Linked DNA regions of Tamandua tetradactyla. The protein of the gene in region 1 interacts with the protein of each later gene in a pairwise test. Links are inferred from orthologs where the notes say so. Each region holds a gene or a part of one and is shown in the gene's direction. Other genes may lie near its edges.

Region 1 (7,707 bases):
ACCCACACTTGCCAGCACCCATTTAAGTCAGTCAGTACTGTGAAGGCAGTGGCTTGAGAAAGAACTAGATTTGAGAATGATCAGGATGACCAGAGCCATCCCCAATAGCTGGTGACAACTAAGGAATATTGCAGACACTGCCCACACTCTGTCTGAGGCAGCACTGACATGCAGCAACATAACAAGGTACACCTGCCACTCCCCGACAACTCCTTACCCGCCAGGGATTGCTTGGGGCAGCCCACAGTGGGAGCCCAGGGGCAGCTGGATTGGATCATTTTGCTATATTTAGAGCAGCCTAGGCTCCCCCATGCCTTCTGGTTAACAAAGTTAGGGCAGGCAAGATGCCTATTCAAAGAGGAAAAAAACAACATGACAAGATAGGGCCCAAGGCCCTAATGTAGTCTTCTGTTCTACAGAACCTGACCTAAATGAAAACTCCAACCCCCACTCCCTAAAAGAAGACAGAAAACTCAACCAGATCTTGTGTTTCATTCTTTTCTGATCCAGTTCTGGGGCCTATGTTCCAGCTGTTCCACCCAAAAAATCCTTGATCCAGGGTGGGAAGAGTTTATACTGGCCTGTTCCCAACAGAGGACTCAAGGGCTGAAGATGGGACTTGAGGAGTGTGGGTGGCAGGGTGAAAATCAGAAACCAGGAATGGAGGCTGCCTGGCAAAAAAATGTATCATGAAGCTGGGAAGAGGCAAGATTCCCGTTCCCAGGTGTCCTGACATGGGCTCCAACTTCCTAAGAACATCCTGGACCCAAAGTCCTTTTAGACGTTCCAGTTCAACACAACTAGCCTTCCGGTGTCTCTCTACGCAAACTCCCAAAAATTAGAACCAGGAAAGACTTCAGAGCTTATCCAATGCAGATCTCTCCTTTTAAGAACGAGGAAACTGAGGCCCAAGGTCACACAACGAAAGAGTGTCAAAGCAAGGACCTAAACCTGGCTCTCTCTAGTTCAGGACTCTCCCCTGTTCATCCATTCACAAAGAATCCCCACCGGGTTCTTCCGGATTTTTCGCCATCTGTGACTCCACTCTCACCTCCCCAACCTCTCCAGCCCCCAATTCGCAGACTCTTATCCCAACTCCGCAAAGCTCGGCGCCCGACCCAAGCTGCCTGCGGAAAGTATTCCTCCACGTGCTTTCCTCCAGCTCTCCCACCCACCCAATTCCTTTTCAGCTCCTTTCCGGGTTACCGGGTCCCGCGCCTCACCTGCTCCCTCCAAAACTGCACGGTCCTCCCTCGCCCGCACCCTCCCCAGCCCGGCACCCGGGCCCCGCCCGCCTGGGAGGCCCCGCCCCCGCTGTCCCCCTCTTCCCTAGGTGGCTGCACTCACACCCCGGCCCCTCTCACCGGTAAAGCCGCTTAGTATGGAGGACCTTTGCTTCGGGCTCGCTGCTCTCCCCTGTGGGGGGGCCTTGGCTCATGGTGCCCGGGCCCGGGGGCAGCTCCCGGTCACAGGCCCCCACCACCCGCCGCTACCGCCACCGCTGCCGTCTCCGGCCGCAGCCGCCACCGCTGCCGGCCCTGCTCGGCCGCCATCGCTGTGAGGCGGCTGCCCGCGACAGCTCCTCCTCCGCCTGCCAAATCTCGCGATACAGCTGCACAGGTGCAGACCAGTGGCCGGCTGCTGCCAAATCTCGCGAAACTCATTTTCCCTCCCGGGAAGTTGCCAGAACTAACTCTGGGCATCATGGCCTCTTTCCGGCTACTCCAAGCCCTTGAGAAAAACTTTATTGACAAAGCTGCTAGACAGCGGACAGTGGACTCAGTGAGAGGGCTGAAGCTCAGCTGAGTTTGGGCAGGCAGGCAGCCTAGGAGCCTTGCTTTGTCTTGTCCTACTGTGTTCATTTGGTTTGGCTCATCTTTCTGCCCGTCCTTCCCATCCTTACCCCCCCCCCCCCCCCAATATGAGCCGAGCCTTGTTCAGAGTGCTGGTTAGAACGATTCCAATTCTCCATTTTCCCCATAATTTAAAAAAAAAAAAAAAGCGCACGTGAACATTTCCTCGGAAAGAATCGAGTACTACTTAGGAGCAAGACCCGAGAAAACATGACTTTTGTACAAGTGTCTCAATCCATCACCTCCCGCTCTCAAAGCTTTCTAGCTTGCACATGTATCTAGCACCAGTCCGGAAAACATTTATTGAACACCTGCTGTCATCCAGGCACTGTGCTGGGTTGTGCTGGGTTGTGGGGACGCTGAGATGAGCAAGCTGAACACTGTCCCTGCTCTCAAAGAGTTCCAGTGATTTTAGGGATAATGTCCCATGAAGATGAACAGTCATTCTCTAGTCTGCTCTCTAACGTTCTGGCCTCTGGTCCTCACATTGGAAAGATCACTTGGTATCTAACTAGGATTCCTATTGCTTTTTATTTTTTTGTATGCTGTATGGCCGGATAATATTTCATTATATTGCCATGTGAGTATCCGGTTGTTGCAGCACCATTTTTGTTGGAATTTTTGTTTGTTTTGCTTGTTGTTTGGTTGTTTGTTTTTGGGGATAGTGCATGATCCAGGAATCAAACCTGGGTCTCACGCATGGCCAGCAAGAATTCTACCACTAAACTACCATTGTACCCCCTCTTATTACTTTTTTAACCTTAAACCAGACCTAAACAGCAAGGTGTTTCTGTGATACCACAAGCACAGCTCTTTCCATAAAAGGGTCCACCTGACCCGGTGCTATAAAGGAGAAACAAACCTCTCGGTGTGAAGGTGATTTATTGCAAGTACACTTTGCAAGGAACTGGAGGAATCGTCCCCAAACCAGTTCAAAGTGGGGGTGTGAGTTAAGCGTTTTAATAGGTAAAGGAAGGATTATAAGGGGTCAAAAACTAGGTAATGGCCACTTGATTAATTCCTGTCAGGTCAGCAATGACACTGGATCTTCATGAGGAAGGCACCAGCAAATTTCTCAACCCTGTGTTGTCTCAAGCACATTTTGTTGTTTCAGCTTTGGTGATAAGATTTAGTTATTGACGTAGAAGCTCTTATGCTCATCACTTTTCTTAGCTGACCTTCAGATATGTCAAACTTTTTGTCACTGATTCACTGAGCTACTGGGTGTTCTTTTTTTTTTTTTCCAAGTTTTATTGATAAAACAACATACAAGCACATACATTTGTAACATACAAATATTCCATACGTGGTATACAATCAGTGGCTCACAGTGTCATCACATAGTTGTATATTCATCACCATGATAATTTTTTAGAACATTTGCATCACTCCAAAAGAAAGAAAAGACTCATGTATACCATACCCCTTACCCCTCCCTCTCATTCACCACTAGTTTTTCCATCTACCCAATATATATATTTTTTAACTTTAGTATTTGTTTCCCCTGTTTAGTTATTTTTAATCCATACATTTTATTCATCTGTCCATACCGTAGATAAAAGGAGCATCAGACACAAGGTTTTCACAATCACACAGTCACATTATGAAAGCTATATCATTATACAATCATCTTCAAGAAACATGGCTACTGGAACACAGCTCTACATTTTCAGGCACTTCCCTCTAGCCTCTCTAATATATCTTAAACTGAAAAGGGGATATCTATACAATGCATAAGAATAACCTGCAGGATAACCTCTCGACACTGACACTTTATTTTATCTCATTTCTCTCTTCCCCCTTTCCGTCAAGAAGATTTTCTCAATCCCATGATGCTGAGTCCCAGCTCACCCTAGGATTTCTATCCCACGTTACCAGGGATGTTTACACACCTAGGAGTCGTGTCCCGCATGTAGAGGGGAAAGCGGTGAGTTTGCTTGTCATGATGGCTGAGAGAGAGAGAGGCCACATCTGAGCAACAGAAGAGGTTCTCTTGGGGGTGACTCTTAGGCCTAATTTTAAGTAGGCTTAGCCTATCCTTTGCGGGGATAAGTTTCATAGGAACAAACTCCAAGATTGAGGGCTCAGTGATGCTATTCTGTTATTTTATCCCTGTAAGAAGAACGAAGAAGGTCTGGTTAATGTCCTTCTGGAACTAAGTACAAAGAGTATATTGCTAACCTCAGCTGGGGTAAGCATATTTTCCAGCAATCACCTGGACCCGTATACCTGTTATAATGGGAACATAAATTCCCCCTTCCACCTGATGCTCCTGCCACAATTCACCTGACCTTCTTTTTGTTCTTGAAACAGCTCAAATCTAAATCCTTCCCACCAGTTGCCTTTCACTTCTGTTCCTCTGCTCGGAATGCACATACTCCTGATTTCTCATCAGGTCTCAGCTTAAATGCCACCTTGTTAAAAACGTTTCCCTTACTGAATTTGTCTTATTTAGTTACTAAGCTTCTTCACTTTCTGCCACTCCAATAGAACATAAGTAAGTTCCTCAAGAGTAGGGGCCTTGCCTGTTAGCTTTTCTCATCTGTGCCAATACCTAGCTAATAATATGTGCTCGATAAATATTGATTGAATGAATGAATGTACGAATTCCACTTTTTTTCTGGATATCCCAACCTACTCCAAGCACCTTTAGGTGTACAGACCCACTCTCCCTGCTCTGTCTTCCTGGGCTGGCAGCTCCTACACATCCTCCACTTGCCTCCTACTTCCAGCAGCCCCACTTCCAGAAAGGCTTTTTCTGTCGGCAGATACAGCAGGGCGGGGCCTGCGCCTTTAATCTGGGCTCCACCTGCTCTGGTCGGACAGGTTTGGAGACACAGGTAGAGGGAGGGAGTCCGAGAGAAATACTTGCAGAACCAGCAGGGAGTTCGGCAGCTCCTTCCTGGAGGGCCGGGACGCCAGGGACCCGCTGCCTTCTCCAAATGGAAAGTAAGAGGGTCTCATGGGTCTGAATGGTTGAGGGTAGGCAGGCACTCCAGGACATGGAAGGAGAGGACTCAGTCTCATCCACAGGAGCAGAGAGATGGAGGGCAGCAGGCAGGGGAGGAAGGCAGGAGAGGAGGCATGGGAAACAGCCATGATTAAGCCTAGAAGTTGAGAATGGACAGACCAGGACTCTGCGGAGGTGGGCTAATGGGGAATTCAGCAACTGACCAAGTACCCAGATTGGGGGTGAGGGGGCAGGCCACCTGGGGACTGCCAGCCCCTTGGGACACATGTGTTGGCAAATCACAGGTACCACCTCCAGGAGAGTCCTACCTAAGCAGGGAGGTGGGGAGGTGGGAAGTTGGAGGGGCCGTTTCTCTGACCACAGGAAGATCTTTAGCGGGAAGGAAACGCTCGGCAATATTCTAGACACCTCCTCTTCCTCTCGTTCCTGGATGAGGGTGGCCATGACCCCAGGGGTTTTGGTGGAGGGGTAGAAGGCATGGGCGGGCCGGCTGAGGCCGCAGCTGCCAGGGCCTGTGCCCCCTGACTCACCCTCTCCTGCTGGATGGCACCTGATGTCGAAAGGTGCCTCCATTTCAGCTGCTCACTTCTTCCCTCCCTCCTCCCTCTGTTTCAACATCTCCCTCCACACCATGTTCTCCCTAAGGTCCCAAAAGAGACCAATGCCCATGAGATTGGCCTCTCTGGAGAGTTCCAGTTTCTGCCAACTGCTCGGAAGGGCCGGGGGCCTCTGACAGAGCTTCCCTCTGCTCCCTGCAGGGTGACACAAGCTCACGATACACCCCAGACCTGAGGCCCCAGGATGACAGAGCCCGAGACCCTGACCCTGCTGGAAGTGAAGGGACCTGAGGTCCTGGAGAAGAGCCCACCCCAGGCCCTGGTTCCCAATGGCCGGCAGCCAGAAGAGGAAGGTGAAGCCGAGTGCCCCAGAGCAGGCTCTCCAGCGGGGTGTCCCACGGCTGCGGAGGAGACTGAGGCTGGTCTGGGAAGCACGGTGAGCGAGGCTGCCACCCTGCCCTGGGGGACTGGCCCCCAGCCCAGTGCCCCATTCCCCGATCCCCCCGGCTGGCGGGACATGGGGCCAGAGCCCCTCGAGTTGGAGCCCCCCACCAAGCCCGAGGAACTCCCCGGAGACGATGACAACCTGCTGCCCACGAAGGCTGCGCGGGCCTTTGTGCCCATCGACCTCCAGTGCATCGAGCGGCGGCCCCCCGAGGAGCGCGCTGTGTGCCGGGAGACGGCCGAGGCCCAGCGCAGAGCCTTCCGGCCCGCCCGGGTCATCCACCCGGAGCCCCCCAAGTGCAAGTGGGCCGAGGCAGCAGTGAGGTCGCCCGGCCCCTCCTGCGGGGCCTGCAGGCGCTGCGGGGGCCGCGAGGGGCTGCGCGCCGTGGCCTCGGTGGGGGCCGCCCTCGTCCTCTTCCCCTGCCTCCTGTACGGGGCCTTCGCCTTCCTGCCCTTCGACGCCCCGCGGCTGCCCACCGTGAGCTCCCGCCTGGTCTACACGCTGCGCTGTGGGGTCTTTGCCACCTTCCCCATCGTGCTGGGTGAGTCCGGGCCCCGCAAGGAGAAAGGGCGCCAGACCCGGGGAGGGCAGGGCCTGCCGGCCGTGGGGAGTGGGAGCCCAGGCCCCTTGGCGCCCCCTGTCCCCCTGCTCCCCACCCCCTGTGTGCCCATCCCCTCCCAGGACCCCCAGCCCCACTGGGCACAGCCTAGGCCCTGTCCTTCTGCGAGGCCTGCCCCCCTCTGCCCTGGGCCCTGCCCCCTAGCCTCCTGCCTGTCCTGACCCCATGTGCCCCCCACCCCCACCCCCACCCCAGGGCTCCTGGTGTATGGGCTGAGCCTGCTGTGCTTTTCTGCCCTGCGGCCCTTCGGGGAGCCTCGGCGGGAGGTGGAGATTCATCGGCACTATGTGGCCCAGTCAGTCCAGCTCTTCATCCTCTACTTCTTCAACCTGGCCGTGCTCTCCACATACCTGCCCCAGGATGCCCTGAAGCTGCTGCCACTGCTCACTGGTCTCTTTGCCATCTCCCGGTGAGTTGGGGCTAGGGGCGGGGCCTGGGGGAGGCGATGGTGCCAGAGGGGCCGCAGGCATCCGACAGGCTAGAGGGCCAGGGACAGCGGGCGGCTTTTGGGATTCTGCAGCAGCTCAAATGTGCAACCTGGAGAGGTGAGTGCTTCCCCCCTTGCCCCTGACCTCACTTGGTTGTAGATGATCAGCCCATAGGCCTTCCCCCAGGAAACTGATTTCAGAGACACACACGCCAGCCTTGAAAGCAAAAGGGCCTTCAGGTGCCATCGCGGTCAAACTCCCACTCGTTGCAGCCACTCTTCCTCTGGGGCACTCTGGCCAGGTGGCCCTTGGCTGCTAGTTGTGCGGCCCCTGTGACGAGGTGCTCAGTTTGTTTTATTTTTTAAAGGTTAGAAAGGTTTTCTTTATATTGTGCTGAAAACTGCTACCTTGACTTTGATCTCTGGAACAAACTCAGACATTTGATATTGAAATGCCTCTCATTTCTCTCTATCCCAACACCCTGCTCCCCCATTTTCTTTATTTTGCTAAATGTCCCTGGTCCCTTCACTGTCCTGGGTCCTTCCCACTACGCAGAAAATTCTCTGGTTTGTCAATGGGGCCAGTCATATTACTCTCCTGTCATTCTGAGTTTGTAGTCCCTGATGTCCTGAGGGTTTTGTTTTTTTGTTTTTGTTTTTCTTTGTATGCCGTATGGTGGGGTCACATTTCATTATTTTTCCATGTGAGTATCCCATTACTGCAACACCATTTGTGGAATTTTTGTTTGCTTTGCTTGTTTTTTTGTTTTGCTTGTTTGTTTTTTGGGAAGGGCATGGACCAGGAATCGAACCCGGGTCTCCTGCATGGCAGGCT
Region 2 (7,636 bases), on another chromosome or scaffold:
CTAAGCAAAAGATTCAAGGGGACCATTATGCATATTTCTGGATATTTTTCTCTGTGAATCTCCCTCCTTTCTGGTGCTCTGTCCTGAAATTTTCAGTTGCTTTAGTCTCTCTGAATTTAAATTAAATTGTGCTGGTTTGAAACTGTTATGTACCCCAGAAAAGCTATGTTCTTCTAGTCTAGTCTAGGGTGGGGGGGGGGGTGGAGACCTATTGTTGGATGAGCCTTTTGATTAAGTTGTTTCCATGGGGATGTGACCCACCCATTGGGGGTAGGATCTTTTGATTAGATGGAGATGCGACCCCACCTATTCAAGGTAGATCTTAATCTGCTTATTGGAGTCCTCTAATAGAGGGAAACATTTTGGAGAAAACACAGATACAGACATTTGGAGATACAGAAGGACCACGGAGCTAAGAGAGCCATTTTGGAAACCAATCCAGGAGAGAAGGGCCAGCAGACATCACCATGTGTCTTCCCATGTGACAGAGAAACCCCAGACATGATCAGCTTTTCTTGAGTGCAGGTATCCTCTTGTTGATGCCTTAATTTGGACATTTCCATGGTTTTAGAACTGTAAATCTGTAACCTAATAAATCCCTTTTGTAAAATCCATTTCAAGCATATTGCTTTCCGGCAGCATCAGCAAACTGAAACACATCTTAACTGAAGAAGCCTCATCAAAAGGTACTAATTACAATGGGTTCACACCCATAGGAATAGATTAAATTTAAGCACATATTTTTCTGGGGTTTATACAGATTTAAACCACCATAGTAGCCATATCCCAATTTCTATCACCATATATTAGTTCTGCCTGTTTTTGAAAATTATTTAAGTGGAATCATATAGTATGCAACCTTTTGTGCTGGCTTCTTTGGCTCAACATTATGATTACGAGATTCATTCATGTTTTGCATACAGTTGTAGATTGTTCATTCTTTTTTTAAAATAGTTTTTTTATTGTGAAATATAACATATATACAAAAAAGCAAAAAATTTCCAAGTATACTTTAATAAGTAGTTATAGAACAGATTTTAAAGTTTGGCCTGGGTTACAGTTCCATAATTTCACTCTCTTTGATATATATATATAGTATTCCAATATATGAATATTGCAAAATTTATTCAGTTTATGGTCAACGGACATTTGGATTGTTTTTAGTTTGGGGCTATTATAAACAGTGCTCCTGTGAACATTCTTATATATATGTCTTTTGGTGAACATATGAATACATTTCTCCTGAGTTTATACCTAGGAGTGGAATGCTGGGCCAAAGGGTAAGCATATGTTCAGTTTAAGTAGATATTGCCCAGCAGTTTTCCAAGGTGTTAACACAATGCTCTTAAAATTTCAATATGCCTAAATTAAAATTAAATGCCTCAAACACATTCTAGATTTAATCTATCTTTATTCTTCCCAATACAAGATGAGAACTTAGCATGTTTTCACTTTACTTTCTTCCCTGCCATCTTCCATTTGAAGATCTTCTTGAGAGTTTAGTTCCAGTTTATTACTACTTTTGCTAAAAAAAAAAAATCAACCTTTACTTAGACTAACCTGGAATGCTTCCCTGCTTTTCGGCCCCAGTCAGTTCATTCACTTTTCTTCCCTGGGGACAGACACTTCTCGGTGTCCCTGCTTGTGCACAAATGGTGGAGGGAGAGAGACTGATCCAACTGAGTCCTTCTAATGGGGTATCTCATTAAATCATCCTGGTAGTTGCTCCTGGGCTCCCCCCACCCCCCACCTAACTCCCCGTGTTCACCAACTATGGACTGAGAGCACCAGCAAGGTAGGTTCCACCTCTGCCAGTATTATTTGTCTTTAGTCCTTTGGTTATGGAGGAGGACACTGAACCATGTGTTAAGTTAAGTTTGCCATCTTCCTTCGCTCTCTCTACTAGAGCTATTTCCTAGGTCCTCTACACTCTCTCCTTAGATGCCCATCTATGGCTTTAAATATTGTCTATACTCCAGCAACCACCTCATTTATATAATTAATCCAGACCTTTCCTCTGAACTCAGGACCTACATATCCAAATCTGTTTGCCATTCCCATTCATTAGTATCTAAAATTTAACACATCTGAAACCATTTGCTCCTCATCCTATTTCCCTGAATCAGTTAAACGGCTTCTAGATTCATTGAGTTACTTAAGTAGAAATTCAAGAGTTATCCTTAATACGCTTTTCTTCACCCTTCCCTGCAAACCAATCCTTTATTAGGTCCCTTAGATTCCACCTCCTGTTTATACATATCTTGAAGTTATCCATCTGTGCTGGTTTGAAACTGTTACGTACCCCAGAAAAGCCATGCTCTTTTTTTTCAAAAAAAATTGATTAATTAATTTTTATTATTACATAGCTGTGTATTCTTCACCATGATCACTTCTTGAATATTTGCATCACTCCAGAAAAAAGAAATAAAAAGAAACAAAAACAACTCATACATCCCATACCTCTTACCCCTCCCGCTCACTGACCCACAGTCTTTCAATCTACCCAATTCCCCCCTTTATCTCCCTCTATTATTTTTTTTTTCTACTTATCATCACTATTTTACTCATCTGTTCATACTCTGGATAAACGGATCATCAGACACAGGATTTTACAATCACACAAAAAGCTATATAGTTATACAGCCTTCCTCAAAAATCAAGAATCAAGGCTACTGGAACACAGCTCTATAGTTTCAGGGACTTACTGTTATCCACTCCAATACACTCTTTTTAAAGGGATACCTATACAATGCATAAGAATAACCTCCTGACTTCTGTTTGAAATCTCTCAACCACTGAGACTTTATTTTGTCTCACTTCTATCTTCCCACTTTTGGTCAAGAAGATTTTTTTCATTCCGATGATGTCAGGTCCCACATTGCCAGGGAGATGTATACCCCTGGGAGTCATGTCCCATATAGGGGTAAGGGCAGTGAGTTCACCTGCCAAGTTAAAGCCATGCTCTTTTAATCCAATCTGTGGGTGCAGACTTATTGTGGGTGGGATCTTCTGATTAGGTTGTTTCCATGGAGATGTGACCCACCCAATTGAGGGTGGGACTATTTGATTAGATTATTTCCATGGCGATGTGACCCCACTCACTCAAGGTGGATCTTAATTAGCTTACCGGAGTCCTAAAGAGCTCACAGAGAGAAAGCTTGGAGCAGACACAGATTGCAGAGAGATGAAACCAAAACACAGTCGTTCGGAGAGGTAGAAAGAAAGCACCCAGTAAAAGTCAGAGAGACTCACAGAAAGTGAGAAAGATATTTGAAATCAGAAGCAGGGAGAGAAGCATAGCAGACCTTGCCATGTGCCTTCCCACGTGACAGAGAAACTCCAGGTGTGATTGTGATGGGCCTTTCTTGGGTGAAGGTATCCTCTTGATAACTTAATTTGGACATTTCCATGGCCAAACTGTAGAACTGTAAATTTATAACTTAATAAATCCGCTTTGTAAAAGTCAATCCATTTCTGGCATATTGCATTTCCGCAGCATTAGCAAAACAAAACACCACCTCTCTCTGACTCTACCACCTTTTCCCAAATTCAGGCCACTATCATCTCTGGCCTTGACTTATGCATCTGCCTCCAAACTGGCCTCCCATCATCTCCTCTTGCCCTCTTCGAATCTATTCCCCACAAACAGCCCAAGTAAGCTTTTAGATATGTAAATCAGTTCATACTTAACACTCACTGTGACCTTAGGACATATCGCAAAATACAGTCTGAAATCTAAAATGTGGCCAGACCCTTCATGATCTGGACCGTGCCTTAATTTTCTTAGCCTCTCCTTGCTTGTTACACTGGGCCACATTTGCTTCCTTTGTGTTCCTATAATACATCAAGTTCTTTCATGCCCAAGTTACCTGAGGCATAATATCCCCTTTGGCTGGGACATTCCTTAAGGCTGTTTCATATGCGTGGAGCTAAAAAAGGCACTTCTTCGGTGAGCTCTTCCCTGGTAATCCAAAATACATCACTGTACCCAAATTTCATTGTGTGCTGTGTTTACTCCTGTAATCCAATACCTAACATAGTGCTTGGCACATGGTCGATATTTGGATAAATAAATACTTGAAGGTCCGATGCCGAGGCTGAAAGGGGCTGTAGGGTAGAATGTTGCACTTCTCTGCCTCAGTAAGGTTCCTTCTTTTGTGTAGTGGTAGATGGGTAGGAGCTCTTTACTTACTCATCCAGAGTGGACAGGACCAGTGTTTGCTGTAGGGTCCCGTGTGAGGGACAAACTGCCTGCAAATACAGGGCGGCAGTCGAGGGAGATTATCCACATTTCTGAAGGTCAGCATAGTTCTGTCACAAGACTATTGTGCCATCTCCTGGTTCAGGTGCAAGAGAAACGACCGAACTCTCCTGGAATGAGCCAAATTAACTCCGGCCACTAGTAGGTGGGTTAGCGTCTCCTTCCCACAGAATCTGACTGGCCTAGGCGCCAAGGCTACGGGGCGGGGCTTGATTCCGCCGGGCGCAAGCCACGTTGGACGCGGTGCCGCCCCGCGGAAGGCCACGCCCTCGCCCCACAATGCACTGCGGGGCGCGTCACTCCGCGCGGTGGGTCCCGGCTCGACAGGTACATCTTGTCTTCTGCACCCCTATTCTTGTTTCGCAGGGCGGCTCCGACCCTGGCCTTCCACCCTGGGTATTACAGACCTACCCGGAACAGGAACTGAGCCCGAGGCGTGGGGGCGGAAGCCGAGTGTCGTTGGAGCCGCGAAGCTTCGGAGGGGCGGGCAAGCGGGGACACTGTCCCCTCCGGCTTGAAGGGTCTTGGGGGCCACGCGGTCGGCGGTTGCCCCTCGGCTGACCTACCTGGGTATGAGGCTGCCCGGACTGAGTGTCCAGGGGGTTGGGATAGTCGCTCTAAGCTGCCAGCGTGTAGAGGGAGTGCCTCCGACGTCCAGTTGTCAGAAACATGAAGATCCATCTGGGATTTTAGGTGGCCCGAGAGGGCTTGAGGTGCATTTCTTATTTTTTCCAGGCAGAGTGAGATTTGAACCAGTGATTGACTTTAAGTTTTTTGTGGGGGGTTGAATGGACGTCGAACCCAGATATTTAACAGCGTTGGCTCACGGAAACCTCAGGAGTTACTGAGCCAGGGAGACCCAGTTATTGGCATTTTGGGAAAGATGTGACGTAAGGGAGACCTGAGTTATTGTCCCAACAGGTGGAGGAGGGCTCCCAAAGAGGCGGCTAACTCGGCTTGAAACTCTGCTAGTGAAAACATCTGTGGACTTTCTACCTACTCCTTAGTTTCCTGAATCGTCCATCTGGAGTAGTTGGAGAGAGTGAGCTCTGGCCCCTCCTATACCTCTATAATCAAGATTAAAGCCAGTCCAGGTCTAAAGTGCCAACCACCAGAACCGAGAGGTTATTCGATCCCTACTGACAGATGAAACAGCCACTTTCTAAAAATCTGTGAATTCCATTCCATGTTACTCATGTTTATTTACTTGCTGACGTTATAAGGAATTAGGAAGTTATTTGAACAGCACCTTCTGTTTCTAGTATATGCAGATTATAGCTCAATATTTGAATCTGACACCTGTGATCAGTCCCGATTCAATGGGCCATCTGAACCTTTCCCATGTTGAGAACCATCATATCAGTTTAATGCTTTTTTTGGTGTATAGCTGATTAAAAAAAAAATCTGAAGTATGTTTTATGTTGGTGTGTGAAAGAAGCGCACTCCTGTCAAAAGGTTTGGCTGACCTTTTCCATGTGTTTGAGTAAGAAAGCTTCGATATGTTGCGAGACAGTGTCTCATAAGGTGACTGTTAGATTTAAGTTTAAATTCTTACTCTGTCACGTCCTCGTTTAATGATTGAACAAATCACTTAACCTCTCTGGGCTTGAATTTCCCCAAAGGTGTAATGGAGCTAATAATATCTACTTCACAGGTTATTGGAAGGCTTAAGTGAGGTAATGTGTGTTAAGTGCCTGTCCCATAGAGGGCAATTGATAAAAAATAAGAATAGCAAATACTTAATATAGCATTTATAGTCTGAAAGGCAATCTTTCAGGTGCTTTACCTTTAGTCTTTAAAATAACTTGTTGAGATAGTTACTATTAATAACCACAATTTACAAGTGAGGACATTGAGGTATAAAAAGACACATTAACTTGCTCAAAACTACACAGCTAGTACATGGTGGAGCCAGGATTTGAACCCATGCAATCTGGCTCCAGAGTCTTAACCACCATACTGTACTGCCTCTTAAAGAAAATGTAAGTCATTATTTGATTTTTATTTCAAAATGAGTAACTGTATAGTTAATAGATTCTTGTCCCTTGTTGGTTTTGGGAAACCAGGGTAGCATATTGATGTAAGAAATGAGAAACTTAGGTTTGAGTACCAGTTCTGCCTTATATTAGCAGTGTGATGTTGAGAAAGTACACTTAAGCTTCATTATCTATAAAATGAATGTTATGTCTACCTCACTGTGAACTATCAGGTACTCCATAAATGTTGGGATTGACACATTTGAACACGTGTTGGGGGCCCTGTTCCTAGATGTGGGGATAATCTGCTAGGGTCTTACACATACTGTGCCATGTAAACATCTGTAGTAAGAATCTCAAAGGCTTCTGGTGAAGTAGGAGGTATAGGCAAATTTGCAGAACAAATTTTGGTTGTCCTTGATACCCATTCCTCTTCTCTTCATGCTCTATCTCCCTTCCTGCTTCTCTCTGGCTGGCTGTAAGTCCTTTCCTCTTTTCAACTGAAGCTTCCCCCACCTTGTGCATGACAGTGTAACTTGCTCTTTAAATAACCCTTTTCCATTTCCACAGATCTCAGCTAACACTTTTAATAAGGTAATATGTACTAAGGTAGTTGTGCTGCTTTGAGACTGTTGTGTACCCCAAATAAACCATGTTCTTTTAATCCTAATCCACCCTTGTGGGGGCAAACCTATTTTTTGGGTGGGATCTTTTTTATTTAGTTGTTTCCATAGAGATGTGACCCACCCAATTGTGGGTGGGATCTTTTTATTTTTTTAAACTTTTTATTGTATAATATAACATATATACAAAGCAAAGAAAGAAAAAAGCAATAGTTTTCAAAGTAGTCTTCAACAAGTAGTTATAGGACAGATCCCAGAGTTTGTCATGGGATCTTCTCAGATTTTTCCTTCTAGCTGCTCCAGAATATAGGAGCCTAGAAGGAATAAATTTTTCTTTTCATCACAATCAACTTTTTTGTTTTCTTTTTTGTGAAAAATAACATATACAAAAAGCGATAAATTTCAAAGCACAGCACAACAATTAGTTGTAGAACATATTTCACAGTTTGGTATGGATTACAATTCCATAATTTTAGATTTTTACTTCTAGCTGCTCTAAGATACTGGAAACTAAAAGGAATATCAGTTTAATGATTCAGCAATCATATTAGTTTCTTAAACCTTACCTTCTCTGTATAATTCCACGATCACATTTGATCTTTCTATACTTCTCTTTAGGGGTATTTGGGCTATGGCCATTCTAACTTTTTCATGTGAGAAGGAGCTGTTAATAATATGGGGTAGGGAGATGGAACTATCTGATATTCTGGAGAGGCTGGGCCCTGTAGGTTTTAGGACTTATCTGGTCCTGGGACCCATCTGGAGGTTGTAGATTT
Region 3 (7,507 bases), on another chromosome or scaffold:
TTACATGATAAAATTTTTACTAAAAGTGCATAAGATTGGAAGCTCCTGGGCTAGAGGGTACTTTAATCATTTCACTGAAAGCACTATGCATAGTGCTTAGGAACACAGGGCTGGGTCCAAGGACTTTGGTTTAAATCTCAGTTCTGCTGCCTACTAACTCCCCGAACTTTGTCAAGATGCAACTTTCTGGGTCAGAGTTGTCTCCTCTGTGAAATGGGAATGTTCATATCCACTTCATGGTGTTGTTATGTGGATGAATTAAGGTGGTGCATGTTTAGTAAATGCTATCTGATTTTGTTGTGATTATTATTATTTTAGCCTTAAGTAACTTTTTTCTCATTCTTGAAGAGAGTTGGCCAGACTCAAGTCTTCTGGTTTGTTGTCCATGATCTACTACATCTTCAGTACCTTTCTCTATTCTTTGTAGGCAGCTGTTTCATGTTTTTATTATCTTAGGAAGAAAGAGCTCTATGCTAGCTTGGAAGTCCTATAGTCTTTCTTGGTGTAATTCTGATGCCACTTCTCTCACACTGCCTTGTGCCCTCATTGTTTGTGTTCTTTTCTTAACTTTCTTCTCTTGAGGACACTGATCCTCTCCTGGATCCTTATGGTCTCCCATTTGCCTAGAACGATGGTTTGTATGTAACTCACTCAAAACCAACTGAACAATTGCATGAGTAATAGGCATGGTGACTTGACTCTGCCCTGCTGCAGGACACCTCTCCTGCTCATTAGGGACAATAGCGAGCCTGCATCAGAGGGGAAAAAGGGTGGCAAGAGAAAGTCTTGCCAACCTTGCTTCAATTCCATACACATTTTCACCCCACACTTACCCCCACACTTAATGCTCATCTCAGAGGACTTTTATACTAATTGAAACTCAGTCCATGCTCCTTCAGTCATAAATAAAAAGAGAAGTTTAGCCCTTGCCCAAGAGAAAGGAGTCCCCTTGACATATTAAAAAAATTATTATGAATGAAAGAAAAAACCAAAGAACTAGCAAACTGGACATCCGCACCGGCAGGCTTTGTGCTTGGCATGTTTACATATACTATCAACTGAATCCTGATTTCAAAGCTTCAAAAGAGTTGTTAGTATTCCCATTTTACAGACGAGGAACCTGAAACCCAGAAAGGATAAATACTTTCCTCAATGTCACTTAGTAAGTGGAAAATCCAAAATGTGAACACAGGTTTTTTGTGACTCCAGTTTACCACATAGTCTCCGATGAAGGCAATTTCTCCCGAATTGGCTTGGACTCAAATGTCTGAATTGACAGTTCTGTGTGGACCCCACCACACAGTGGCCATTCAGGCTTCTTTCTGACCTTTTCCTGGGCTTTCCCTGTTGCAAGAGGGCAGGACTTACACGATCGTTGTGGCAGCAGTGACAAGGAAGGAACTTGAAGAAGTAGGGCTTCTTCTTTCTCTGGGCTTGTGCATTTGGCACAGTGAGAGGAATCACCGTGCGCTGCTTGCTTCTTTCTCAGCAGCTGGATGTGAAGACATGAGGGTGAAAAGGGCACCATGCTGATCGTGTTCATTAGTGTGATGTGCTAAGTGCTTAGCACCTCTCGTCAAGGCCTTGCAGAAGTCTCCCATTGTGTCATGGACTTGTAGAATTCATGGACTGATATAAAGTCTCCACATTTCTGTTCCCAAGAATGGATGGAAGAGAGGGATAAATTAAACAAGCTAGTTTAGCTCCTAACCAGGCATAAAAGCTCAGCATTGATTCCCAAAGGTCATTTTACACTTGAGGATGTATAAGCTGAGCTAAATGCCAATTAGATCATCTATGTTAGTGTCAATGTGAATGTTATTTTCTTGACATTTTTGGTCCTTAGCTAAATTCTAGATTAATAGGCATAGAAATAATGTCAAAAATTATTAACTATATCCTTCTTCTGATAAGCCGAACAGCACTTGAAAGAAAGTTGATTTGGAATGAATGCTGTCATGGAATTCCTCACAGGAAGGTAAATGTCATTAGAGTTAAGTAAGGTTAATCGTAAGGGATGAATTTTCTTGGTTCCAAGGTTTGAAATCTTGTCATTCCCAGCTTCTCACTGAGAGACAAAAATCTTGATTTTTTTTTTCTCCCTTTATGGACCTGCTGATAATCAAGGTTAAACTCTGCTTGAAGCATTTGAGTAGTTGTGAATTTGGGTGACTGGCAGTTTTTTCTGGAGAGGATTAGTCCAAACTAATATCAAGCTAATTTCCAAGTCTAATCGCACTCTCTAGTGGCATCCCAGGAGAAACAGCTAATATGAAGAAGTTTCCAAAGGCACCATCTGGCCACCAAGCCTCATGGGAACTTGTCAACTACTGGGCACAATTGCTCCTGGTACACTGTTAGATATGCTCAAAAGGGACAGCCAGATAGAGAGACAGAGCTGCCTTGGCAATTCAGTCAAATACGCAGTGTGATTTTTTCCAACTCATGTTCAAATCGACCAGTTCAACTAAATTGACCATCTGTTTTAGTGATATGTGAATATCTTCCTGTTGTATTTAATATTTAAAATATTGTAGCATTAATTTTGCATTCTGATATGTACAAAATAAATGCGTGTCCCATAAATCCAACACCAATATGTGGCATAGTATGAAGGATTTGACTATGTAGGGATCAAAAAAGGGAAAGATTTTTTCAAGTATCAGAATTTCTTTACCAAAATATCTTTGGAATTTCATATTGTGGCTATGTATGGCCACAAAGTGTCCCTTTTTTTGGGTAGCAGTAGGATTTCATGTTTAGCGTACATTGTGTATGTGTGTATGAGTATGTGTGTGTACAAATTGCTAAGGAGAAAGGCAGAGGAATGTTGTATTTCTTAATGCATTAGGCACGCATATGGTACACAATTCTCAACCATCTGAATAAAAAGTAATATGAAGTTTATTTTCTCTTAGGAAGATTAAAGGTAATTATTTTTTCTTATATACTTTGGCATATTTTCATTTTTTGCAATAAATAAATAATTTTATTTGGGAAAAAAATTTTAAGTGGTTTTAAAAAGGGGGGGGGGGGGGATGGATATTGCTTGGTAACCAGGAAAACATTCTTAGCATTTAAACCATCTGGCAAGCACTTGGAGGCAAAAGATCGAAATCTGACTACATTCAAGGAGTTTGCCAGATGGAAACAAATAACTGCCAATGTTCAATTGTGCTATAATTATTATACACTACCTGTCACTTCAGCAAGCTCTTTTTACAAGGCAGGTGGTGACAGAATGCTGTATTAAGATTATGGGTTGATGGTGAAATGAAGAAATGGAATGGGAAGTCTTTCTTTTAGTGATACCTTTGGGGTATGTGAAAAAGGTTTGACTATGAACACAAATATTTAATTTTATTTGTTTTTGCCTTCTGGGAATATATTATTTCAGTTGCCCCTAATTGGGAATTCCAAAGGGAAAGTTATCCTATTTCTTATAGAGAAAGGATTTGTTGAGCAAACACAGTTGCAGGGGTCAAGTTTAAGGTACTTAATTGATCTGCTTTCAAGTCCAATTAAACACTTAGAAATTCCATTTACCTTCAAACATCTAGTATGCTGATTAAAACTTGTCTTAACTAGTCAGTGTTTGTATTTGAAATTAATAAAATTCTATTTCCTTCAAATATATTCTATAGTTCATGTTTTTCATTAATTTTGACCGGTTCTCCTTCTACCCCTAATCTATCCAAAGACTAGGTTTTGCTGTATGAGTTTAGTGCTGAATTAGTTTACTGATTGAATATGCAAACCTTCTTCTCACGCAAAACTTCATCAGCTCTCTCAGATGAAACTATCTTAATGTGTAAATTTGCAATGTACAGGCTTAACTGGAAAGTCCTGTAAAGCTGATGACTGAGAGGAACATTTTCACTACTTGGACTAAAAAAAGTCAGTTTTGAAGGAGCTTGAGCTGCCTTTTGAATTCTGGTGTGTATGTGTGTGTGTGCTCGCACACACATGCAGGCATGGGTAAGGAAGACAGAGAATGCTTTATATTTCAAGCAGGTAAAGATTTGAGGAGTGAAATGAAGTCCATTTTTTATACCCTGAGTAAGGGGAGCAGCCAAATGCAGCATCAATTTGTTAATAGTCTATCACTGTCTCGGGGTTTATGATGTTTTAAAGCCATGTTAGAGATATTCATGAATATGTAAAAGACAAGTTGGAAACAAATTAAATGCACCAGTCACCTTCGGAAACAGCAGGCTTTTAAGTCCTTGTGATGTTAATACAAATTAGCAGCCAAAGGAACAAAGTGTTAGTCAACATATTTCTCTGCTCCCCTAAACGCAAATAGCCTTGAACCTTCAGAGGTTGTTCCTTTGAGATGGTTCATCGGTGACATCACACTGGTTGCCACCTGCTTGGACTACTTTAGGTCCTGCCCAGAGCCCAGAAGTCACACAGCTCTGGAGGAGAGCCGGCGTTTGAAGAGAAGAAAGAGGAGAAACCCACCGCAGCCACGGTGCGTCCTTGACCCTTTTTGGGGGTAATAGCAGGATTTTTATGTTTAGCATACATTGTGTGCATGTGTGTTTGTGTACAAATTGCAAAGGAGAAAGGCAGAGGGATGTTTATATTTCTTAAAAGCAATAGGCAATGCCTATTGTATACAATTCTCAAGATGTAAAGTGAATATTATTGATTCTTATTCTCCTTTTTTTTTCTCCTCATGGTACACATTTTCTCCCTTCCTGTTTCTTTTTTTATGAAAATTTGATTTTCATAACATAGAAAAAGGGCTGTATTTCATCTTCTCAAAGTCTCCATTCAAAGAACGTCAATGTCAAACTTCCTGCTCAATTTATTCAGAGATATTTTGGTTTTTATTTCATCCACTTGGCAGTCATTTGGGATGATATGCTGTGAACTTGACAGAAACTTCAGAGAAGGTTTAAAATGGGGACAAAACTGTCTTTGGGGATTAGCAGCAGAAAAATGGAAATTTGCTGAGATGGATTTCTGTCTAACTTGGTTCATTCTGGGTGTAAATGTGTGTAAAAGTAAAGTCCACCCCTTACAATTAGCATTATGTGTTGAATTTAATTGGATAATTAATTGGATTCACTAGAAAGTGCTACATATGCTACAAACATACGTAAAATGAATGTTTTATTCATCCAAAAAGATGTAGAACAACAAATATTTCAAATTTACTAAATAGTAAGAGGTAAGCCTCAGGAAAAAAATAAGTTTGGTAGGTAGCCTATTAACTCAGGGACCATCTAAAAAATAAATGTGAAAAGTACATCAAACATGTGCAGTTTAATCAACAACTACAAGGCAATGCCCACCTGGGTTAAGAAAGAGATTACTGCTGGCACCCCAGAATCCATCCCTGATCTCCCACTTCTGCCACCCTAGGGAATCACTATTTTAATTGCTGAGATTATCTTTCCTTGCTTTTCTTTACACTTTTACCATCTATGTCTGCATCCCTAACCAATATGATTAAATTCCCTGTTTTTGACTTTGTATAATGGAATCATATTTTATGTTTCTTTTAAATTCTACTTTTGCCCATCACTTATGCTTGTGAAATCCTGTGTGTAGCTGTAGTTCATATACTTTCTTTGCTCTATTGTATTCCGATGCATGAGTTTACCAAAATTCATCATTTATTCTACTGCTGATGGACATTTGAGTTGTTTCCAGTTGGGGCTATTGTAAAATGCTGCTGTGAGCATTCTTGTACAGATCTATTCTGGTACACATGATCTTGAGTTGCTAGGGTAGAAGCGAAATTGCTAGATAAATAGGAAACAAGCATTTTTAAGTTTAATAAAAATGCCAAATTGTTTCCCAAAGTGGTTGAAAATTTACATTAATGTTGTTTTAGCCAGTCCAATTAATTGCAGTATTAACGCATTCTTGTAATCACTCCTATGCAGAACTATAATCCCAACATTAGTTCCAGTCTGCCAGTTCTAGCTCTGCCTCTAATTTGTTATGCATCATAACACAAGCAACTTAACCTCTTTCTAAGAGTCGTTTCTCAGAGAGTGGAAAAAAATAAAAATCATAATAGTACTTGCCCGAGTTGTTGAAGGTTGTAGAGTTACTGTGAAGGTCGCATCAGCAGAGGTGTGGAACAGTTTTCCTTAGCATTTCCTCACGTTCCGAGTCTATTTCTTTGGGACCACTTCACAAGACTCTTTAAAAGCTGATTCTAATAAGCAGATTTGGAAGGACAGTTATTGAAACCCTTTTTCAACTGGGTTGCTTTGATCATTGTAATCACACTCTCATATTTTCTGCATATCTTCGTAATCCTTAATTTATCCAAATAAGTAGGAGTTTGAACCAGCATTTGATTTTATTAATGAATTCATGAGGAGGATTCTGACTTTGATTCTGTTTCTGTGTCTCAAGCCTCCTGGCCTGAGGTCATCATCTTCCTGTTATCTTCTGCCCTTTGGTACATTCTTATATATTCTCTCTTCCTTTATTCATTCACTTTCTTCTGTTAACTCTCTCCTCAAAGTGAATCTTTGTGAAAATTTTCATTGGCAATCGACTAATTTTCTTCATGCATAGGGCCAAAAGATGGCTAAGAATTAAAAGGAAAATGAAACTTAAATCAGTCATCATTGGCCTCATTTTAAACCAAGATCAGCAATGTACTGGTTGGCACCACTGATTTGAACCTGTGTGTTATACCAACAATAACATAATTGAAAAATGATTATTCAGCTGATGCCTAAAGATTTAATAACTTGGTCAATTAAAAACACAGTAAATGCAATTTCAGTCTTGCTAGATGGCTAAACAATACCATTCAGGTCAAAATTTTAACAATTCTTCTACCTGCATGAACTCCCACCCTTAGCAAATTCCCTTTTCCACTAAACTTTTTCACTCCACATTTTTTTTGTCCTTAATATCTAAAATATTATATTTCATATTTTATTTCATTTATTTTGCATGAATTTACAATGTCAGTTGTACTACATCAGGTAATAATTTGATTGACTGCCTGCATATGTCCTAAAAGTATGACTTCCTGTGTATACTCTCTGCGCACACTATGAAGATACCATCCCTGCTCTTTGAAGTGTTCATAATCTAGGCACATCCTGGACTTGACTAAAAATAGCTGACACAAGCCCTTATTGAAATACAAATACACATGAGGTAAACACTTCTGCTTTCTGGACTCAGCACCTGCTATGTGAGGGACTTTGAGTTGACCCCAATAGGCTCTGTGCCCAAAGCAGAACTTGTAAGAGGCCAAGCAGCTGTTGAAGCAACTTTCACCAGAGTTAGTTGAAGACCTATAGCAGCCTAAAACCCTGAAAGATTGATACCCTACTGCTATCTGTAGTTTAAAACACGAAGGCTACTAACCTATAATATATATATATACATATTTTTTCACTTTTTAAATTATGTAATAAAACACATATACAAAGCAAAGAAAGAGAAAAGCAATACTTTCAAAGCACTCTTCAAAAAGTAGTTACAGGATAGATCCCAGAGTTTGTCATGGACTATCATA
Region 4 (7,359 bases), on another chromosome or scaffold:
CATGTACCCTTGATATGATGTGATGAGAATGACACTTTACCTTTGTGGTCTTCCTCCCCAAACCCATAACCCTAGTCTAATCATGACTAAAACCTCAGACAAATCCCAACTGAGGGTTATTCTACATAATACTTGGCCAGGCTGGAGTTATAACAATCGTTAGGAAATTAGGTTCTGGAAACAGACCTGAGTGTTACCTGCCATTTCATTTGTTACTTTGGGAATTTCTCTATGCCTCTTTCCTCATCATCCCTAAAGTGGGGATTATAATAGTAACTGTTGCTTTCTGTAGAAACAGAGCTGGAAGGATATTAAGGAATGATGAGAAAAAAAGAAAGGAAGAAAGAAAGAAAGACACAGATGGGCTCAGGGGGTCTGAAGCTTGAGTTTACTTCAGACAGACTTCAGACCCCCTGAGCCCGTCTGTGTCTTTCTTTCTTTCTTCCTTTCTTTTTTTCTCATCATTCCTTAATATCCTTCGAGCTCTGTTTCTACAGAAAGCAACATTTGGCGCCCAACGTGGGGCTCGAAGAAGACTCCAAATCAATATTAAGGAACCAAGGAAAAGTCTCATAGAGGCACGTGTGTCCAGCCGATAGAAGAGGACTCGAGTCATATTGGTAAAGTAAGCATTTTCCTTGGATCATCAGGGTAACGGGTAATCATAATAGGCGGCTGGAGGAGTATGTGTGTGTGTTAAAGCTACTGGGGTGCCTGTTAAAACATCTGAATTAGTAAGCTTATTTGATCTCATTCAAAAACATTGTTGTTGGTTTCAGCCTTAAGGCCATAATGTTTTAAATCTTAAGTAATGGAAATTCGTTATGAAGGCTTTGCAGTGAATATAAGACGGGGAAAATATTCCTGTTTCTATTTGGTTATTGTGTTCAGTCAGGCAATGAACTACCTGGCTCATGCTTTGTCTTAAACTCTAAGTTGTGTTTCTTCTCAATCTCCCACTACCACTTCTTACCCTGTTTCGACAGTTGCTTGAGCCGGACTCGGCAACTGGTGCCCAAACAGGGATCTAATAAGGGAACTCTTAAAGCATAAAGTGAGGAGATGCTCCAGGGACATCCACTACAAATACTACAGGCGGGCCTTTTTGGGTTGAGCAGTGGCCCTTATCTGTAGAGAGGTTTGAGGCTCTGACTCGGTTGATTTGGGAACAGTTTGGAGCAGGACGTTTACAGGAGTCTCGTGGTTCTTGGAATTCTCCAATATTTATTGCAGGAGGGAGGTCAGGAAAATGGAGAATGTTGACTGATTTGATAAAAGTTGATACTGTGATTCAGCCTATGGAGTCATTGCAGCCTGGCTTGCCCACACCAGTTGTAATTTCTAAGAACTGATTTATTATGATAGATTTTAAAAATTGCTTCTTTGCTGTGCCTTTGGCAGAGCAGGATAAAGAAAGATTGGTTTCTGGGCTTGTTCTTGATGGGCTGCCTTTATATAGGGATTCATGTACACCTGAGTCAGAAAGTATTCAGTGAGAAAGGTGCCATACCAAATGGGGGTCAGTGCTCATTGATGGTTCCTGTGGCAGGTTGGTCCCCAACGGGGTGTGCAGTTCGGGATTGTAGTTCTGACTCAAGGTATTCTGTTAGGTTACCTTTGTTTAGTCTGAATGATTATTCTATGAGATTTATACCAATACTACAGGTAAAGTCCTATGACTCAGAATGGGAACGGCAACCCCATCTCCTTTTGTTAACTTAAATCCTCAATAAACAGCAATTTGGAAACTGGCCATGAGTTTAGCTCCTATTCATGTTTGAAAAGAGAAATATATTTTAAGAACTTTAAAACTAAAAATTCTTGTTAAAAACTATATATTGATAGTTAATGCATATTTGAAACATTAAAGTATTTTAAATATTTAACATTATTCTAACAAATTTAATTTTGATGGTAATTACATATGTGGTAAAATATTTGTTCAAAGTAATGATTTAAGTATGAAAAATATGAAAGATGTATTTTTATTAATAGGAAAACAGAATAGTTTTATCCTAAAATGAATAACTGTTACTAAGCGAGAAAAATATAGGACAAAGCCTAAACTAATATAATAAGTGCTGAGGGTTTATAAAAATAGAAATTATGGTTAAAATCAAGAAAGATTTAATGAGTCTAAAATGACAATGTTTTCTTGGACTTTTAGCCTGTTCTAATGAAAGGATATAAAAAAAATTCTAAATAATTAGTTAGAAAGCAAAGAGTCTGTGTTTTATCAAAATAACTTGTGTTAACTTTTATCATGTTATTATCTGTATAAAAAATACTGATTTTCTCCTGGGTATCATCATACTGGCAAAAACTGCTTCTTGCTCTAAACCAGATGGCTTAATCTATTAATCTAAGTACTATTACTATAAATGAATCTATTACTGACTAAATAATATTCAAATCATTTAAATACCTAAATTCCTTTAAGCCAAAATACTTTAATGCTTTGTCCAGTGTTTATATAAACTATATATGTATAAACTAAATTTATCCCAAGATAACCATGGCTTATATTGGAAGCAGATCAGATTTGAGGGTTGAATGCAAGGAAAAAATATACTTGTGGAGTCTTTTTTGTTCACCTGATGTTGCCATTACATGCAACTGATATTGCTGGGAAGACCTTGGTAAGAAATAGTTAAAATGTACACTTTAGCTGGGAGGACTGCCTATCCCCCCAGAAGGCGGTGTACTTTAATAAAGATATCTAGGTCCCAGGAAGCTCCTCTTGGTCCCTAGCCAGTTCCCAGAGGACCCAACTGGGCCCAGTCATGTAAGCAAATCAGAATTTGGCCACTATTGTGAGAAAATATCATAAAAACTGCATGAAATAAATTTAAAATTAGCAAAAATGCACAACCAATTATAAAGAATCCACATTCTTGCATTCCTTTTTAATCAATCCAATGAATTCAATTTTAAAAATCTGGTCATTTACTATGGGTACACGTCACTATTGACACTCTGCTTTCATTTTTGCTATCTGCCACTTTAGGGATTCCTAATTATATGTTACAAAACTTGTTTGATATTTTACAAGGAGATTCTGATTTATTAAGCAAAAGGCAGTTAACAGCTGCAGCTGAATGAGAGTTACAATTAATTGAACAACGCATTCAAAAAGGACAGCTTGTTCAAATAGATCTAAAAAATCCTGTTGATTTTATTATTTTCTTTACCTTGCAATCTCCCACAGGCCTATTTTAGCCAGACGGTGTTTTAAAATGGATTTTTTTACCAAACAATTGACAAAAATGTTTAAATACATATTTGCAAAAGATTATTTCTTTAATAGTCAAAGGTCACCAAAGATATTATCAATTAAGAGGTCATGATCCCTAATTGCATAGTGTGTGATCTCACAAAGGAAGCAACAAGTAACCACCGTGATCACATTGTTTGTGAGGAGCAAATAAAGCACTTGGCCTAGTGCCCAGCACCCAGCTCTCAATAAATGTTAGCTGTTTACTGGTATGCTTTATAGATTTAATTTAGTATACATATTTTCTCCTGATATAATTTAATATAAGAAAATTGTTAAGCAGGTATTGGAAAACTGAAAAGATAACAGCGGACATTGTATCATCCCAGAGGAAGTTACTATCTACCCGGAGTAGCTACCATACTATGTTGGAGATTTAAACAAACAAACAAAAAAAACAAACACATTTTATTGAGAATAATTTACATACCATAGAATTCACACACAGGAAGTGTAGTTGTTTGACTTTTTTTTTGGTGAAACGGTTGTGCAATCACCACCACAATTCAGTTGTAGAACCTTTACATCATCGCCCAAATTCCTCAAGTCCACTTGCACTCAATCCTCCGCTTCCACTGGGCTCCAGGGAAGGACTCATCTGTTTTCCGCCTCTATAGATTTGCCTAGTATAATTTATCAAATTGGGTAATACAAGGTGGTCGTGAGAAATAGATACTATTGAGAGACAGACTTAGATTTAAAAATTACCACGAAGTTGTTCAAAAGTGGGTTACAGTTTTAAATAGTATGGATCTAAGTACAAGTTATAAGAATAGGGGTCGTAAGTACAAGTTTCGAGAGAAGGTGGGGGAGGTAAGTGAGGAGAAGCTCCAGTCTGGGGCGGCTGGGACTGGGGTTGGGGTTCTGGAGAGTGCGGGAAGCGGGGAGGGTCAGTTGATTGCCTCGGGCTGCCCGGCCCTAACCAGAGGTTGGACGTTAGCACGCTAGCGTTAGCACACCTCCACAGCCGCCTGGCCGTTTGCGCAGGCGCACTGCCCCTGGCTTGCTCTCCGGAGGCGGGGCTGGGCAAGTAGCCCGAACTTGTGATCACATCGATCGCGAGCGCGAGGCGATTGCTTCTGTCTGTTGATTAGGTATGGCACTCGCGAGGAAGCCGAGAGGCGGTAGGAGCTGGGACCTGGACCTCGCTGTGTGTTGACCGCGGCCGGGGTCTGACCTAGGCCGTCTGGGCTATGGGGGATCCCATCTCCTTAGACACGGGAGACCGCTCCAGTGGTTTGAGCTGGTGCTTGCAGCGGGTGGGGATGGACGCCGAGTGGCTGCTGCTGGAGGCTGGAAGCGAGGTGAGGGGGGGAGGGTTCCAGTTGGTGCGAGGGACGGGGGTTGGTGGAAGTAGAGGAAAAGGGGAGGGGAGGGAAGGCGTAGGGGCCCGTGGGACCGAAGGAGAAAAATGATTCTGGTGCGAGCGGTTGTGGGGTCTGAGTTGGAGTGTGTGTTGGGGGAAGTAGACATCGAGTGAGAAAATTGAAATACGGTTCATGGGAGAATAGAGGGCCATAAGGGGCCGGGGACAGAGGCGCTGGACACAGGGACTAGGAGCTAGAAGATGGCCCCTTTGAAAGAGGCCTGGACCTGAGAGACGAGCTTGCGCAGGAGTCGGGGTTGTAGGAAGTATTAGAGTGGAGGGAGCAGAGCGAGGAGTGCGCATAGACGATGTGAGAAGAAACTGGAGTTTCCAGGAGGAGAAAGGGGACTGGGACGGCCAGTTGGGGAGCGAGGGAAGTATGAGGCAGAGCTGCCCCAACTTCCACCTTGAGTTGTCAACCCCCTTAAGTTTAAGGCGGAGTCAGGAAGGGCTACCCAGAGCGTGAACTCCCGAGTTTATTTTGAAAACGATTGCGAGTTTTAGTTTATGTCCCCTAAAATACTCAAACCTTAATGTGAAAGTATCTTCCTCTTTTCCAACTCGGAGGATAATTGGCACTTTGGGATAGGCCACGTTTATCCTGTGAGTCTTGTACCGCCGCCGAGTGGCACCTCCTGAAGTGGGCAGAAGGTGGGGATTCAGAAACGTAGGAGTTCTCCTCTCTAGAGGTTGCTTATGATGTTTGCTAATGCGTGCATAAGTGGAAAAAAAAAAAAGAAATTTGAGGTGAGGTTCCAGTTTGGGGCGCTGTGCTTGGTTTGAAAGTATGTATCCCAGAAAAGCCATGTTTTAATCTTGATTCAGTCTTGAAGGGGCAGCCGTTTCTTTTAATCCTGATTCAATACTGTAGGTTGGAAACTGAGTGTGACCTTTGATTAGATGGAGATGTGACTCCCTCCATTCCGGGTGGGTCGTGATTTGTTTACTGGAATCCTTTAAATGAGGAAACGTTTTGGAGAGAGTCAAAAGCCTCAGGGTGGACTTGAACTTCAGAGCAGAGCTGACACAGATGCCAACACTTGGAGAACAGAGACACGGATGTTTGGGGATGTTTGGAGATGCTTGGAACTCAGCAGACATCGCCATGCGATGTTAAGCAAGCCAGAACCTGTAGAAAGCCAAGGGAAGCCAAGAGATAAAAGCCAGCCCCTGAGAAGCAAAGTGAGGAACTCTTACAAGAACAGAAGCTGAAAGCAATGGAGCCCAGGAGCAAGGGACCAGCAGATGACAGCCTCGTGACTTCTGAGCTGACAGAGGTGTTCCAGACCCATCAGCCTTCCTTGAATTAAGGTGTCTGTCTCTGGGTGCCTTAGTTTGGACATTTTGTCAGTATTAGAACTGTAAACTTGTTAACTTATTAAATTCCTCTTTTCAAAAGCTGTTCCATTTCTAGTATATTGCATTCCAGCAGCTTGCAAACTAATACAGGTGTCTAGGAGTGGGATGATGGTTCTAGAAAGGAGGAGTAAGAGTTGTGATCATGTTGGGAAGGAGAGGTGAATCAGGAATCCACCTGTGGTGATTGAAGTTTGGTTTGGAAATAATTTGAGAGGTTCACTTTGCAGTAAAACTAGGTGGTTGATCATTATTTGGGATTAATTTCCAAGTTTTATTCTTTGTATATTTAATTAGACTTTTCCTATAAGCAGTATAGTCTTCCCCAAAGTGTATTCATTTTGGGAATTAACAAATTAAAACATTAACACCTGGATAATGCTAACTTTACTTCTTTTGTATAGGGTTGGGGTTTTCACAAGTGTCACTTAATCTGAGTCCCTGTATATGCGCTATACTCTCACATGCAACCATATTAGATACTTAATACTCGAGTGTTAACACATTCTTTCAGATTCAGTTGCTATGGATTAATTTATTACTTCTCCTGGACAGCGTGTGATAGCACTGGGAGTCTTGGAGGGTAGCATAAGGAGAAAGAATTCAAGCACCTGCAGCAAGGGCAAGAGGACTGTCAAGCACTCTTGGACATTTAAGCTATTGGGTAATTTTGTGTGGCTGCTTCTATGGGGAAAGATGCATACAAACCTGAGTGAATGGTGAAGATGACTGCGGCTTGCCTAGAGGGCCTGGGCAAAGGAGAAGACCTGCTTGGCGTGATTATCCTCAAGATGTGCTCTTTTTTTTTAGATATTAAAAAAGAAATTTAATATCTTCAGTAAGTGAAATGGAAGGAACCCTGTTTTACCACTTTATCTGTGAAATGTAGGGCCTTGAGGGGAACTGGGAAGGTAGGAAACTGACTTTACTCTGCTGTTACAATCAAATGATGCCAGCACACCTCCTAAAATAAATTGGCTTATTGAGGGTAAGATGATGCAAAAAATATAAAAATTAAAAGCTTATCTGGCATTTAATTGACTTTTCTTCCACAGTGTGTCAAATGGGAGTTGGATTTTATTTGTACATTTTCTAAGGACCCGATCTGTTTTGAAATCCTTATGCAGAGGGAAACTGTTGGGAAGATTCCTTAAGCAGCTCTTGGGATAATTCTTATGAGGGTGGGGGAAATTAATTTCTTAATTCTGCCTACTTCTTTCCCTTCTGCTTTATGTATTCTACAAAAATAGTCATTACACGTGTTGGTGAGCCCAGCAATTAGCAAAAAGAAGCCCTGGAAGCCAACTTTGTCATCAATACTGGTCTAGATCCTTCATTATTTTGTCCTCAGCCAGAGGGTCTT

What was found.
Region 2: the proteins of TMEM79 (region 1) and SEC22A interact in binary tests that used the Homo sapiens proteins (3 or more experiments, as listed by UniProt). The two-hybrid records come from large-scale screens. The link is inferred for Tamandua tetradactyla from reciprocal best matches to the Homo sapiens genes TMEM79 and SEC22A.
Region 3: the proteins of TMEM79 (region 1) and SLN interact in binary tests that used the Homo sapiens proteins (3 or more experiments, as listed by UniProt). The two-hybrid records come from large-scale screens. The link is inferred for Tamandua tetradactyla from reciprocal best matches to the Homo sapiens genes TMEM79 and SLN.
Region 4: the proteins of TMEM79 (region 1) and RNF8 interact in binary tests that used the Homo sapiens proteins (3 or more experiments, as listed by UniProt). The two-hybrid records come from large-scale screens. The link is inferred for Tamandua tetradactyla from reciprocal best matches to the Homo sapiens genes TMEM79 and RNF8.

Annotation. Positions count from the first base shown.
Region 1 is NC_135330.1:9,312,138-9,319,844, forward strand, and holds the start of TMEM79 (transmembrane protein 79), read left to right. Parts: upstream 1-4,683; 5' UTR 4,684-4,802; intron 4,803-5,582; 5' UTR 5,583-5,625; coding exon 5,626-6,367; intron 6,368-6,640; coding exon 6,641-6,854; intron 6,855-7,707. Other genes in the region: nonsense-mediated mRNA decay factor SMG5, read right to left, coding at 1,365-1,438.
Region 2 is NC_135336.1:22,207,960-22,215,595, reverse strand, and holds the start of SEC22A (vesicle-trafficking protein SEC22a), read left to right. Parts: upstream 1-4,494; 5' UTR 4,495-4,588; intron 4,589-4,597; exon of another isoform or gene 4,598-4,831; intron 4,832-4,837; exon of another isoform or gene 4,838-4,974; intron 4,975-7,636. UniProt on the Homo sapiens protein: May be involved in vesicle transport between the ER and the Golgi complex.
Region 3 is NC_135334.1:34,159,803-34,167,309, forward strand, and holds the start of SLN (sarcolipin), read left to right. Parts: upstream 1-4,377; 5' UTR 4,378-4,474; intron 4,475-7,507. UniProt on the Homo sapiens protein: Reversibly inhibits the activity of ATP2A1/SERCA1 and ATP2A2/SERCA2 in sarcoplasmic reticulum by decreasing the apparent affinity of the ATPase for Ca(2+). Also inhibits the activity of ATP2A3/SERCA3.
Region 4 is NC_135331.1:94,290,392-94,297,750, forward strand, and holds the start of RNF8 (E3 ubiquitin-protein ligase RNF8), read left to right. Parts: upstream 1-4,329; 5' UTR 4,330-4,467; coding exon 4,468-4,578; intron 4,579-7,359. UniProt on the Homo sapiens protein: E3 ubiquitin-protein ligase that plays a key role in DNA damage signaling via 2 distinct roles: by mediating the 'Lys-63'-linked ubiquitination of histones H2A and H2AX and promoting the recruitment of DNA repair proteins at double-strand breaks (DSBs) sites, and by catalyzing 'Lys-48'-linked ubiquitination to remove target proteins from DNA damage sites.